Mytilus edulis: one gene and its partner. The protein of the gene in region 1 purifies or fractionates together with the protein of each later gene. This does not show direct contact. Links are inferred from orthologs where the notes say so. Each region holds a gene or a part of one and is shown on either strand. Other genes may lie near its edges.

Region 1 (7,511 bases):
TAGCTTACTATACATTATTGGTTTTGCTTGTTCTTTGAAAGTGGAAAATGACAATTAGTTGCTTGAATCTCAGTTATTTGATCTCTGCCATTCTGGTGGATAGTTGTCTCATTAACAATCATTACACAACTTTTTTTTATTTTTCATGGTGTTCAATGGTTAAAACAGAAAAAGAACTCATAATAAAGAAACAAAATTTATCAAACTGTTGATCTTTTAGAAAATGGTGACCTAAAGAAAATGTTCACTGATGATCAGATGCATGTTATAGAAAGTTTAAAAATGATTTGAATGTAATCATCAATTAAAAAATACACATCATTTAAATAGATAAGTAATAAACATAAATGAGCTTACACGTATGCATGCATTCTGTAATGGTTGAAGCTTCATACAGGTATCCACCACACAAGGCACATGTGATGTAAGTATTTATAGCACACAATCTCACACTCACTGGTTCCTTACTTAAACTTGGACATACTGGAATTTGAGCTAGCTAAAAATAAAAGTTATGATAAAAATTTCAAATATCTAATTGAGCATCCATAGTATTAATTTATTGTAACAATCATGTTATGTCTCACTTTAGATACAAAATAATCTCTATGAAAATGAGAAGTTGTAAATGCTTAAACAATTTCATACAAGATATCATTGACTTCAATTAAATGTTTTATCTCAAACTGACCTAATCATAAAGAAATAACTCCAGAACGATAAAAGTGACCCAACAAAATTCTTACTTGATCTGATATTTGTGGTAATAAGGATTGTGTACAAGTTTAATAACATTTGGTTGAGGCAAAATTAAGTAAGAGAACCGAAATGAAAAAATTCAGCAGTTTTTAATTTTTTGGGACATAACTCTAGAAGGGTAAAAGTGACGCCAGCAAAATTCAAACTTGATCTGTGTTTTTTGGTAATAATCATTGTGTAAAAGATTCATAATCATTTGGTTGAGGCAAACTAAAGTGAGAGAGCCGAAACGAAATATTCAGCAGTTTTTAATTTGTAAAAGAGCATAACACTAGAAATTTAAACTGACACAAACAAAATTCAAATTTGATATGTGTTTTGTCGTAATAAGCATTGTGTATAAGTATCATAACATTTGGTTGAGGCAAACTAAAGTTAGAGAACGTAAATCAATTTCAGGACGATGAAATACGGACAAGGGTTCAACTTAATGCCCCCTCTACTATGGCCAAGGCATAAAAATAGTTCTTTAACAATATTACAACATATTACTGAAACCAAATTTTATATGGTAAATCTGACTATATCAACAACAAAAATTATGATTTAACCACCTGTTCTTTCAAAGATAATTTTGTTTCTGGTTTTTCCTCCGACTGGCTGTTGTTAAGGACTGTACTACAAGATGGTTGTTCTGTGTCTTCATTGTTGAGATTGCTCTGAAAAATTCACATTAACAACTTTTATAATATCCAGTCTATATACTAAGATTTATACTGTTTATCTTCTTAAAAAACACATCGTATTCAATAAAATTGAGAATGGAAATGGGGAATGTGCCAAAGAGACAACAACCTGACCATAGAAAAAAAACAACAGCAGAAGGTCACCAACAGGTCTTCAATGTAGTGAGAAATTCCCGCACCCGGAGGCGTCCTTCAACTGGCCCCTAAACAAATATATACTAGTTCAGTGATAATGAACGCCATACTAATTTCCAAATTGTTTATTATGACACATCTAATGAATTATTAATCATTTGTTAATTGATAATTAAAGTTTAACATGTTCATAACAGTGCAAAAAAAATTCTAGTTCAACAAAAATATTGCCAAGAGATCTCATGACTCATGTAAACTATTTACTTAAAATGAATAAAATTGAGAATGGAAATGAAGAATATATCAAAGTGACAACAACCCTACCAAAGCGCAGAAAACAGATGAAATATTTTGTTATTCTATTGCAATTGTTCCTATCCAAGGTACATGTAAGTTAAAGAAAAAAGAAGTTATATTTAAACAGCTAAGATAAGCTTATATTAAATGTCCATACTTTACCTCTGTAGTATTTAAATTTTCATCAACCTTTTCATCCTTTGCATTGTCTTTTTGTTCAATTGAATCTACACAAAGTATAGTGGGTACTGAATCATTATCACAAATATTGTCTTCAAAATGTAAGTTGCATAGTCTTGTATGGTCGGTTATGAGAACATCTGGTTTTGCTTGTTTTATTTTCCCTAACCATACTTCACTTCTGTCATCATCAGTCCCTGGGAGACAATGAAGTGATATCTTTTCTTCATTCACTATATGTTCTTCATTTTTAGCACACAAAACACAGCACAATTTTCCTTCACATTGTTCCTTTATCTCTGATGAGGTTTCACAAGTTTCCATTGAACTGAAACAAATATTAACTTATAAATGCATCAATTATATTTTATTTATAAACCATACTAATGTAAATTATGAACAACAATCTTAATCATTCATATTATGATTTATAGCATATTTTTTTTTAATGGTAGATATAATTGCATAATTCATGGTATATGTAGCTACAATTTGTTCATGTCTGTTTCTAGACATAAATATATTCCTCCCCTAATAGTCTTCTCTATCTTGTGTAATTTTTGTTTGGTAGAATGATTGAAATATACATATAGATCAATATTTTACTAAGGTATGATGGTTAGTTTACGATGGTTTATTGCATTGCATTTCCCATCATGATTTCCTTGATAGAGGGTTGCTGCTACAAGGAAGCTTTTAAACCACGAGTTCCAAATGGTGAAGTTGAAATCATCCCTTCGTAAATTTTATGAAAGCCATCACACGTTGGTTGACCGTTATGGAATAACGGTTTCACAAATGATATCGGATATGTTCTTTAAGTCATGTAAGTCCTAACTACAATCCTCATCCCTTTCATGAATATGACCTACCGAATTAGGCTAAATTACCGGATTTTTTAAAACATAAGCAACACGACAGGTGCCACATGTGGACACATCTGCTTACCCTTCCAGAGCACCTTAGATCACCTCTAGTTTTTGGTGGCGTTCATGTCGCTTATTCTTTAGTTTTCTATGTTATGTCATGTGTTTTATTGTTTGTCTGTTAGTCTTCTTTCAATTTTAGCCAAGTGTTGTCAGTTTATTTTCAATTTATGAGTTTGACTGTCCCTCTGGTATATTTCGTCCCTCTTTCATTATTGTGACAGGTGAATAAATTCACTTCAAGGTACATGTAAGTATTCAATATAAAAAAAGAAGATGTGCTATGATTGCCAATGAGACAACTCTCCACAAGAGACCAAAATGACACAGAAATTAACAACTATAGGTCACCATACAGCCTTCAACAATGAGCAAAGCCCATTCAAGTTTGCATTTGCGAGTATCAGCATGACATCTTCCTTGCAAAACAAGTGCAATATTATTAAGATCAGATTACTTATGTTCTTAAGTTTGATATAGGGGGTTTTGTTCCCAATCTGTTATCGAACCTGAGTCTGTTCACCCAAATGCATGTTCTCTTTCACATTCTCACCTGACATGTTCACACCCTGTGAATCATGAATAATGTCATGATGAGCTGATTTTATATAATTAAGTCATTCAACTCTAAGACTTGTAACAGAAAGACAGAAGTTTCCTAACAGCTATCAAACTTGTCACAAGCTGTTAAACAGACCTGATGCTAGCTCATAGGTACTTATGTAGTCCAAATAATTATGACGTCTTATAATAGCCTTTCAAGAGGTCATAATTATTTGGACTAGTACTTATGCTATTTTTTTACTTTTTTAGGACCTATGAGCTACGGTTCTGCAGCTAGAGATAGTGATGACCATACCAAGGGGTGTCAAATTAAAACACCTTATCGCTAAAACCCGCTGACCCGGCCACTTGAACTTTTGACGCATACAACAATCACTTTTCCATTGCCATGATTGCGGCGTCAGATATTTTGTTTTAGGACATCAAAATTTTACAGAAACCTGTGTGATCTCCAGTAATGACAGACAAATAGCGATAAGGTGTTTGGGCCGAATTTGTATGCGAATTTGAGCACTCCATTGGGATAGCAGAACTTTTTATAGTTTTAAGGTATAACTTTAATTCCTGTGATTAAGGTTGTGCGGTACTTCAATTCGTTTCTTATTTTTTATTACATCAGGTATATATATATTGAAATATACTGTTAGCTGATTACATCTACATGATGATGTTCTAAGTAAAAATTAAAATTTAGAAAATCAGCACTCTTCTCTTTAGTCTGATGAATAGTTCATGCATATCTCCTTATTATTAGAATTTTGTGGTATTGCTATTCATTAATCTGGTCATTCTTGTTTTATGTTTTACCCCATAACCAACCTTACGACTGTTGTTTAACCTTAAAACACGGAAAAGTTGCATTTTGTAACTGACTTTTTAAATGCAGACGCCATTGTAAACTTCCGCCTATCACAGGGTTTGTAAGACCTCTCCTTATTGGCCATTTCCTGAGATCTGTGTGAAAAGAACCAATGAAAAATCATTTAAGATAAGGACTATTCTTAGTGAATGGCGAAAATTGTTTGTAAAGATGGTGAGCACGTGGCTTTTAACTTTTTGAGTACATGCACAAATCTAATTATCTTATTTTATACATAACATGTTTAAGTACAAAACTTTGCATAGGCAATCTTCGATTCCAAAATGTCAATGCTTAGACTGTGCTATTTTCCATAGATTTATTGAAATTATCAGCACATGCCGACTGGACATGTGGTCTGATTTATTTTGAGCGCAGTTTAAAAGCATACCATCAGCTGGTATACATGTACGATATGGTTGTTTTTCACTGACGCGTTATAGATGTATACTGTTGGAGTGTTTCTGTACATTGACATAGCGAAAAAAAATATATATTTAATTGAGGGGTTGGAGGGGGGTTGGCTGTCACCAATTTGATTTGGTTCTGGTCGTTCCCTTAGGCAGCAACCATTTGATTTTTCATGGGGGGCTATGGTTTTTTGTGGAAAAAAAAGTTTGTTTCCAGTTTTTGGAGAAAAAAATAATTTGTTTTTGATTCTGAGAAAAAAAAAATGTTTGTTTCACCCTCAGCTGCCACTATATGTAATGATAAAATTGAAAGAACAAAATTGTTTTCGACTTGTCGAAAAAAAATTTGTCCAGAAAAAAAAACCATAGCCCCCCCCCCCCCCCCCCCCCGAAAATCAAATGGTTGCTGCCTTATATTTGATTGGTTCAAACCTGATTGAAAACAAAAAATTTTGATATTAAATGTGGGAGACCTATCATTTTTGAAAAAGCCTGCATTATTTATTTATTTTTCTTTGTATCTCACCATACATGAACCACTTACTTGCAGCATGTACATACATATTCACACCCATTCACATTGACATTCACACTCTTTTACTTTCGCACCCCACATGTTCATGCCCTAAGTCTTTGCACCCTTTTTATTGGTTTGTGATTAATAATTTTGTAATCAATCAAGTTTGGTTAACTTGTGTATATAATATGTAAATATTTTTCTTCATTGTTTCAGATAAAAAGTGGTTCTCTAATCTCACTGGTTTTTTTTTGTGTTGAATAAATCTTAATCAAGTTTTGGTTACTGGTAGCTTTTTTTATGTTTCAAAATAAAGTGAGATTCTTGCGGTTTTTTTTTAATGCTGAATAAATCTTAAATAGTGTTTTGGTTAGTGTATGCTTTGCTGTAAAATTAATAAAAAAAAAAAAAAAAATCATTGGTTCTAAATAGAGTGACATTATGTCAACATCTAGTTTTTGATGTTTTTGTTTTTGTTTTTTACATCAAAGCAAGTTCAAACAACAATTCATCATGATTATTAAACATACAATAGCTGTGTATAAATACCAATTAGCAATTATTATACATAAGTAAAATTTAATAGGTAATCTTCAAATTAATAAAAACGACATTTCATATATAGTAATTCACCAATTTTATTCAGGAAACTTTTGTTTTATGGTGTAAATATACATATAAATTTTAACTATTCAACTGGAAAATATTAAAAATTGGGTGTGAACATGTAGGGGCAGATGTACCTTGGACGCAAACGTGTAGGGTGTGAAAGTACTGGGCTCAAACAAACCTGATATCACCAAATATAGCCAATCTTAATTCTGTCATCAGTGGAATCAACATTTAGGTTCAGTCTGTGGTTCAAGTTTTTGTAAGACATCCTCATTATTATATGTCCTGTATGGATTTTGACGAGTAATGAAGTCGAAGTTGAATTACATTGTCTTACTTTCATGTCATCTTGAAATCTGGACAGAAGCTAGTGTATAACAAAAATACAGTTTAAATCAGAGCAAAATTTATATAATGAAAACTATCCATTTAGTTATAAAAAAACATGTGCATCAATTTAGTTTAATTTTGCGGCTCATACGACTTTATCAAGTAGATACAATGTACAGTCTAGAGTGTTTGTTGCACATCAATTACTTTGTGTAATGTTCAATAAAACTGGCAGAAGATTTTTAATGATTTAGAGATAGTATCCAAAGCAAACTTTTAAGAATATAGTTTTTAGGTAGATGGACTTAGTTTTTTACAGTAAATATTCATAGACAGTCTGAGATTAAATGTATTTGGCAAGTTAATTAGTAAACTTTCATGGAAACTTATGAAACTTGGACAACAGCAATCACAGAACATCTTACAAAATTTTTAGATATATATATAAGATGGACATATGAAAATCATTTAAAATCCTGACTATTACATGTATTAATGTAGTATAAATAATAAATTATTGTAAAAAGTTTTATCTTTTCAGGCTCAAGTATTGTTTATTTTGTATGAACATGCGTCAGGGTATGCTCTGTTCAGAGTGAAAGAATTTGAAGAGGTATCAGTATTACAGAGTCAGGTAGAGAAATGTGTAACAGATCTCAGCAAGTTCCAGTCTGTTGTCAAACTAGTGGCTTTCTCACCATTCAAAAGTGGTACCAATGCATTGGACAACATTAATAGTGTTTCAGAAGGTAAACATTAGAAATTTTGCCAAATTTATGATGTATTTTTCAGTTCTTTAAAGTTTACATATTTCAGCATAAATTTATACATCTAAGTTAAATAGTTTAACCTTCTTTGTTCTTTTTTATTATACAAAACAAATTAATGTTTTTACCTTTTCTATTTTTGGGATACGATTGCTTTCAAGCAATCTGTAGACTTTTACAGTTGACTCAGGGCTCATTCCCTCACGTCAACCGTTTTATTCTAAACATTCAGCAACATCTCAGATTCTTATGATTGTCTTGCTTTAAATGGTAAAAAGAAGCAAAAAAATGAACATAAACAACTTTCCTGTAATGTTCTTCTCATAATCTTCATGTTTAATATTTCCCTTGACTTATATGCGTGTTTTTAACAACACGGAAAATCAAAATTGAGCAGTATTAATATTTAGTGTTTTTATAAATTTAGAAACACGTCAGAGGGATTTCCCCAGTTTAGATAAATGCGAGA
Region 2 (7,852 bases), on another chromosome or scaffold:
GTTTTTAATGACTAAATCTGTTAAAATCTTTCACATAAACTAATTAATTCAAATAAAATAGACACTTAAGTGTTTAAAAAGTGGTCAAAATCTTTCGTCAGATGAACATGAAATTTGAGGCCAAATTCGGTCCTTACCGGACCTACTCCTTTTGTATCGAGATTCAGATTGATTTATAAATACTTAATAAAAAGGTGGGCAAGCAAGACAAAAAGAGTTATAAGTCGAGTAGAAAACCTTAAATGTAAATGGAGGACACAGATTATTTTAAAAAAAAATGGAAGCGAGAATTTCAGACATCGTGGATATCAGATTGCCCCTGGCTATGGAAATTTGGGGAAAAAATTAAGTTTTTGTCTTATTTATAGATGAAAGATCAACATTATTTGTTGTCAAAGTGGTAAAAGAAGGGACGCTTTAATTGCCCATCAAGACAATAATAAATAATCAAGAAAAAAACAAGTGTGTCAGTTGAGAGAAACACTACAAAATTAATAGTTTATCTATTATTTAGTTTACATTTCTTCAATCACTGTCCTCAAATTTAGTATATGTACCTACTGGCTACAATTTTTATTCAAAAACTGCTGTAATATTGTCCTTTACATGTCATTTCATTGGTTGGTTTGCTGTTAGGTTTCAGGCTGTCCTATTGATGTTAACCCATTTCCTACTTTCCTAATTTTTTACACATGCATATAAACAAATAGATTTCATTTGTTTGTGATGCACAACAGTGCTAGTCTAAGTTAGAATCATATATTAGCTAACAAGAAATACTTCAATATTTATTGGGATCATCAGGGCAAGTAAATTTTTTTACGGACAAGTAAAATTTTAGGTTTCACTTGCCCTGGGACAAGTGCTCACAACAAATATTTCCACACCCCTGCCTCATTGTCAAAATTAGTTTTTGTTTTTCTACCCACTGCCATTTTTGTTAGCAATTATGAATAATTAATCTGTAGGCGTATTGTATTATAATCCAAAGGGTACTCCTGATTACATTTTCCAAGCCCTGAGGGATATCAACTAAAGATCACTTATTACTTGTACAGGTAGATCGACACACCTGAGTGACATGAGAACTCTTGATGAAGATAGACAAGATATTACCTCTACCTACACACTCAATATAATTGGCTTTAAAACTTTTTTTAAATTATTTAAGGTTCATCAAAATACAGACAAACTGATGCATCTAAGAAAGTTTTCAGGCATGGCAGGGCCTAGATATATAAAAGTTACATTGTTTACAGGTGTCTATCGTCAATATATTGTCCATTTAAATCAATACTACTCACAACATCGATTATATGAGGGGAGTTTCTCAAACTTTTTACCAACTTAGTTTATTTTTGCACCTGCTGCAGGAATGAAAAAAGAATGAAGAGCAAAATCCAGAAAAGTTTATAATTTTCTGAACCATAAAAATGCATTTAAAATTTAATTATCTAGGTCCAGCCATGACTTAGGTGCACAGGTGTGTCTATACTCAGAGTAAAATTTGTGGTGTAAATACAGCCATTTTAGCCAAAAGGTTATGATGAACCTTAATTCTTGGCTAATTGGTGATTACGCCAGGTGTTGAAGATTAGTTTCAAGTATTGGTGACATCAATGCATGTGGCAGAAGACTTAAGGTAGATCATAGGTAGTGTTCCAGCTAGGATTTTAAAAGGGCAGGGTTCCAATCCTGAAAAAGGGCATTTAACAAGTGATATGATATCATAATATGAAAAGGGCATGTTTTAATAAAGATATTAATCAAACATTGTGTTTATTTGTTGAAATCACTGGTTATACAAGAACGACATCATAAGCCCATATAGAACTTCTACTGTGAAATCTGTCTAAATATGAGAAAATAAAGGGTGGCAGGTAGGTGAAACTTACATAAATGAAGAGATAAATGAAAAATGAACAGATTGATTGATGCCCGTTTTATATAATTCCAAGGCCACCAGTCTGCACCAGAAGCGACGAAGTAGCGCATCTATTTGGGTAACACAATGACCGAATAACACATGTAATGACCGAATAACACTTAAAATTTTAATATAAGAACATATTGGTGACTTTTAAACATTGATTATTTAATGATAATATATTATCGATGTATTTTATAACTTTAAAATGATTTACAGACAGCAGATAAGTGCATAAAGATAATTTTTAATTTCGTGTGTACATCGATCATGGCGGCCATTGTGATTTCCGTGGTCACCATATTGGATGTACACACTAAATTTTAAAAGTTTTTTGAGAACTTTTCTGCTTTCTATAAATCATTTTTAAGTAACAAAATACATCGATAATGTACTAATATTTAATAATCAATGTTTAAAAGTCACAAATATGTTGCTAATATTAAAATTTCAAGTGTTATTCGGTCATTACAAGTGTTATTCGGATATTAACAGTGTTATTCAGTCATTCGAGGTACCGCATCTATTTTGGGTGGGCAAATATCCACTTTTTGATATGAGACGAGCTCTGACGTCCCACGGCCCCAGCTTGTCTGCCAAAACAGCCGTTATATGTCAGAGTAATCTCGGACTAATATGCGGTTTGCAATCGGTGATGAAATTTAGATTTACCGTCTAATTAATATTAGTTCATGCATTTTGTTAAGTTATTTTAATGTTATGTTGCATATTTAAGTTGTTTTGTTGTTTGTTTTTATGTTCTGTGGTATTCTGTGGTGTTCTGTCGTAAAAAGACACTCCGACTTTTGACCATAGAATATAAACATGATACAAGAACAAGTTAGTCTGTTCATGCATGTAAGTGTTAGTGTTACTGAGTTACTTTTGAAAATTATGGAGGTCCTCTTACTTTTGTAATTTAAAATCAATAGGATTTGTGTCACACACAAGGAGATTTCCTTCATCTATAATGACATCAATCTCTTTTTCAACTTCTATAGTTTTAAACTTTGATTCCTTTTCAGCTGCTTCTCTCAAAACTTTTTCCACGAGGTCTGCCATCTTCTGTTTACATCCAACGATAAATAATAGACTAACACTGATTAGTCAATTGAAAAAGTTTAAACCAATCAAAACAGTTTTTACAAAATATTTCTCCCGGAAGTATATTGCAGAATCAATTTCCTACACAACATTGACGGACTGCAATCATGAACCCTACATAAATTAGTTATATTTTATCCCTAAATGCTTAGGCATTAGTACTATCAAAATGTTTAAGCCAGAGAATCTTCGCAAGAATTTTATGAGAGCGAAACAACTCGCTGATCAAAATTTAGGAAGGTGAGTTAGATTATAAATAAAATGACAATTATTTATTTTTACCATTCTTAACACTGAAATTATAGCCTAGATCTATCTGTATCTGTAATGTGCCATGCTATAAAATAAAGAATAAGCGAAGATCAGTATTTAAAACAGACATGTTCCCATGTGAGCTTTAGAAAAAATTAGGCGAATTATTTGGCAAATTGAATTCTTATAATTCACAATTAGCACTGCTGTCATTAGGGAATTGTGATAAAGTACCTTCAAAACAACCATTATTTCTAGTGTATCCTGAAAAATGACGATCATGAAGATGCTTGATGAACTCTATAAGGGTAGGGATACAGGCAATCCCCCTGGTAAATGACGTCATAAAGGTGCTTATGATTATCGAACATTTCCGGATAAGGGCATACATTTAACTTGAAAATTGTCTATTGATAATCATATGGTGCAGGCGTTATCAGTTAGGTCTAATAAAACTATATATGTGGATCCAGTTACCCTAGCTAACTGTGTAAACCTCTTTAAATAAAGAATTATTATTATTATTATAATTAGTTTAAACCCAGACCCTAGAACTTATTTCATTTCTAAAAAATAAAGTTTCAAACAATCAAATTTTGAGAAATGTGAATTGAAATAATAGACCACAGTTCAATGCATTTCTGTCAAATTTTTGGTTTTAGTAAACATCATTCATGCGTTTAGGGGCTTCTTCACTTCTGTTCCAATGTTGAGCGAGTGGTTGGACAACTACAAAGCTACCCGGTATATTGCACGAATTATTCTGCAAATTGAACTCTCATAATTGTCTTTCAGCACTGCTGTCCTTAGTGAATAGTGATTATATATATATCCTGCACAATGAAGATCACTAAGATACTTGATGTATGTTTATAGTGCAGAGATACAGGTTGTCCCCTTTATCTGGTAAATGACGTCATAAAAGCGCGCATAATTGACAAGTTTTTCACGGTGACAGACATACTCAAAAGTGGTCTTTTAAATTCACTGACACAGACTGTGATCTGAATTTTTATCAGAAGTATTCACAATGGCTAAAATGTAACATATCTGTTTATATTTATACAACCAAACCAATGGAAAATTACGAAATGTATAATATATGAATTGGTGAATTATAGCATATTGTTGTCTGTCTGTCTGTTACAACATGTCGGACATTAACTCAAAAACGCTTCAACCAATTTGAATAAAACTTTGGTGAATTGTTTATATATATTGACGTAATCTCCCTTTTTTTTTTTTTTTTATAAATTTTAGATTTTACGCTTCCGAGTTGTGGGGTTTATTCATCCAAAAAGGGGGATTTTTCAGTTTACAGGGTTTTATTAATTAAAAAAGGGGGGATTTTCCAGATAATAACTAAAAAATGCTTTGCAGCAGTTCTCATGAAACTTTGATAGTTAATATATATCTGTTGACGTAAGCTCCCTTTTGGTTTTTATAGATTTTACATTTTACATTTCCGAGTTATTGGGTTTTATTAATTGTAACCAGAAACATAGGGGCATACAGCCCTAGGCTTCCCTCCATCCATCATGTGGGTGTGTCAGTTTTGTGAGTGCTCTCATGTACAAATTTTTTGAAATTCATTTCAAAGGGTATTAGGAACAATGTCTTGAAGTTCAAAATACAATCAAAGTGTACATGTAGAAATGACCATGCAGATTTTTTTTTAGTTTCAAGCTTTTGTGTGCTTCAACAAAATGTGTTGCTGTCAAGAATTTAACAACCTTATAAAATTTCAGAAATGCGTTCAATTAGGGATGACATCAAAAGATCAATGAAGGATAAAAAACATAATTCAAATAGTTTGGGGGTGGGGTCAAAATTGCTGCAAGTTTTGTTTAATTGACATTGATTTTACATATATATATCCTTATTGTTTAATCAATTTTTACAAATTAAGTTAAGAGAAGGGTAGGGGGAGGGGGGTCAGTGAAAAAACTATATGAATTTAAAAGTGTTTTATCCTACATTGAACTTTTGATGTGGTACCTTACAATATTTTATTTTATTCATTCACACTGCATAGTCTAGCAGTCAAATATCATTTACTATAATTACTCAACTGCAGTAAAGCTAATTTAGCTGCTAAAGGCCAATAGAAAACTCATCAGAAATTACTATACCATATATACACATGTAGCTAGGACTCTGAAAAGATTATAGTGAAATCTAATTGAACTTCAAAACCAGATTTTAGTGTGTTTTGTTTTACTCTCAGTAATTAACTCAAACCTAATATTGTTTATAAAAATTAAAGTGATGACAGTCCTGAGTTAAAAATACAGGTATTAAATTTAATAAAAATTATGTTTACAAATTAAAAGTTGACTCACCCCACAAAACACAAACCATTTTCATAAGATTAAAGTTTTCGCCTTATTTTTATGAATAATTATGTTTTTTGTCCAATACTCTATCTGTCAATGTGCATATGATGTGGTATTGAATGAGTATATGTACATATGTGCTCATGGTAGATCAGATGTCTTATCCTGAGCATTCCTTTGGCTCAATGTCATGTCGCAAAAATACTTTTTTTGGTCTAAAAATATTTCAGTCAAGTTTCATTAAAAAAAAATAAGAACATCAAATACTTAAAGTAAATATAAGTATTACACTATTATAAAAATTAAGTGTCAATAAATGTATATTGTATTAAAAATTTTCGGAAAAAATAGTTTACAATCAATGGCAGATAATTATATTGAATTTATATAACAGTTTGTTTTTTTTGCCTGATTTTTCAAGAAAATGAATTTTAGGTTAAGATATTATTAAATGTAATGCATACCAGGACTGACTCTTAAAATTCTTGAAATCTTTTGCATATATATACATCATAACTTGAATACATCTTTGAAATAAAGAAAAATTATGAAATTTCTCGCATACAATTCAGCATGTTTATGAGTGTAGACAGATTTTCATGAGTCCTGGAGAACCCAGAATTAAGAGCTAGAAATCAATGATTATGAAGATCAATCAACTGGCCTTAAATATATACTGCTAAATGTTTGTTTGATATACAGATAAATTTTCAATCTTCTAAAGTGAATTTGCATTTATATGTGAATTAATGACTGAAGGGAAGTGTAAAAAAGGGGTGTATATTAAAAGATAGGTCACTACAATGTATGACCTGTACATTTGTATATTAAGCTTCATTGAAATATTCTAGATTTTGCATACATTTTGAGTTTATTTTTTAGATACATTTGTACATGTACATTGTACAGTAGTAAGAAACCTATGGTGATATAGTACAACTGTATGTACTATCATGGTCAAACATGAATTGAAGTTATGTTCAGTTTTTTGTTTACATATTAATTACGTTTCCATTATATTAGATTTAGATGGAGTAGACAGATGTCTATTTTTCATAAACATTTGTTTTTATTGTAACACACCAGTATCTTGTCAAGATCTGATAAAAACTACTGTATTTTATTAGTAACAAATCTATAATTAGATAAACAGAATGATTCAGAATACAGATTCATTATCAGATTTCCTGTTTTCATTCTTATGATTTTATGAAATTTGATTTATTTCAGGACTTTCTATTGTTTCATAAATGGTGTATGTTGCATTTCTCCTTAAGTCTACACTTCCCTTAATGGTACAATGTATTTCCTTAATGTTCATGAGCATGTGACTCAATCAAAAGGTTGAAGAAATTAATGTTAGAGAGGATTTACCAGTAATATATTGATAAAGAACACTATGTTCTTAATTACTACACCAAAATTGAATAGATAAACATAACAAAAAATAATCTTATTTATTGAGTCCTAGATTATTTATCCAAATATCCATCCCAAATACTGTAATTTAAAAGCTACAAAGCTGAAGTTTGGTTAACTATATAGCATGCATTGTAGTTATAGTGATGTACATCTAAGAGTTGTGGATAAATATGATTAACTAATAGCTAAATATTATTTGTGAAATTTTTAGATAAAATTAGGGAAATATTTCTTATACAAAATTAATCATTTATCAAAAAGAAAATATAGGTTATCAACAAAATCAATAAGAATATTGTGTTTCTCATCATTCATTTTAGTTTTTTCTAATAACAGTTACTTTATAAAAAATATATTCACAGGAAAAAGAACAATTAAAATTTCCCATGATAGATTTTATCATAGTGAGATGAAGTACTTCCAAAGTAGAGAGAGTACTTAAATGATGAGATATATACACAAGGACTGTAATTGACTGGTTCCTTCCATATTATGTAAATAATCACACGCCCATAATTTGTCTTATCAGGAAATCTTGTTAAATGTAAGCATAGATATGATGTGTGCACTGAGAGTGCACTCACAAAAACAATCTAACAGCTAGATAATAAACAACGATCAAAATTTATAGTTTAATTTTTTGGTTTCTATAGACTTGAAGATATTTTCACTTGATGGTAGACATAGTGGGAGGCAATGTTTACAAGTTTTATGTGAACTTTTGTACCCTTTTTTAAATTCACATTTAATGTGGATAGTATTTTAAACATATAATATATTCAATGGATTGTACTTTAAAGTTTAGTTAAAT

The links.
Region 2: the proteins of nucleolar protein 56-like (region 1) and ribosome biogenesis regulatory protein homolog purify together in Homo sapiens (co-immunoprecipitation; 3 studies listed by BioGRID and IntAct, with this or other methods). This does not show direct contact. The link is inferred for Mytilus edulis from reciprocal best matches to the Homo sapiens genes NOP56 and RRS1.

What each region holds. Positions count from the first base shown.
Region 1 is NC_092347.1:5,497,064-5,504,574, forward strand, and holds the start of nucleolar protein 56-like, read left to right. Parts: upstream 1-4,483; 5' UTR 4,484-4,577; coding exon 4,578-4,580; intron 4,581-6,816; coding exon 6,817-7,024; intron 7,025-7,511. Other genes in the region: polycomb group RING finger protein 1-like, read right to left, coding at 358-499, 1,314-1,418, 2,040-2,381. UniProt on the Homo sapiens protein: Involved in the early to middle stages of 60S ribosomal subunit biogenesis. Required for the biogenesis of box C/D snoRNAs such U3, U8 and U14 snoRNAs. Part of the small subunit (SSU) processome, first precursor of the small eukaryotic ribosomal subunit.
Region 2 is NC_092352.1:17,452,389-17,460,240, reverse strand, and holds the start of ribosome biogenesis regulatory protein homolog, read right to left. Parts: upstream 3,029-7,852; 5' UTR 2,990-3,028; coding exon 2,838-2,989; intron 1-2,837. Other genes in the region: rho GTPase-activating protein 44-like, read left to right, coding at 3,201-3,271. UniProt on the Homo sapiens protein: Involved in ribosomal large subunit assembly. May regulate the localization of the 5S RNP/5S ribonucleoprotein particle to the nucleolus.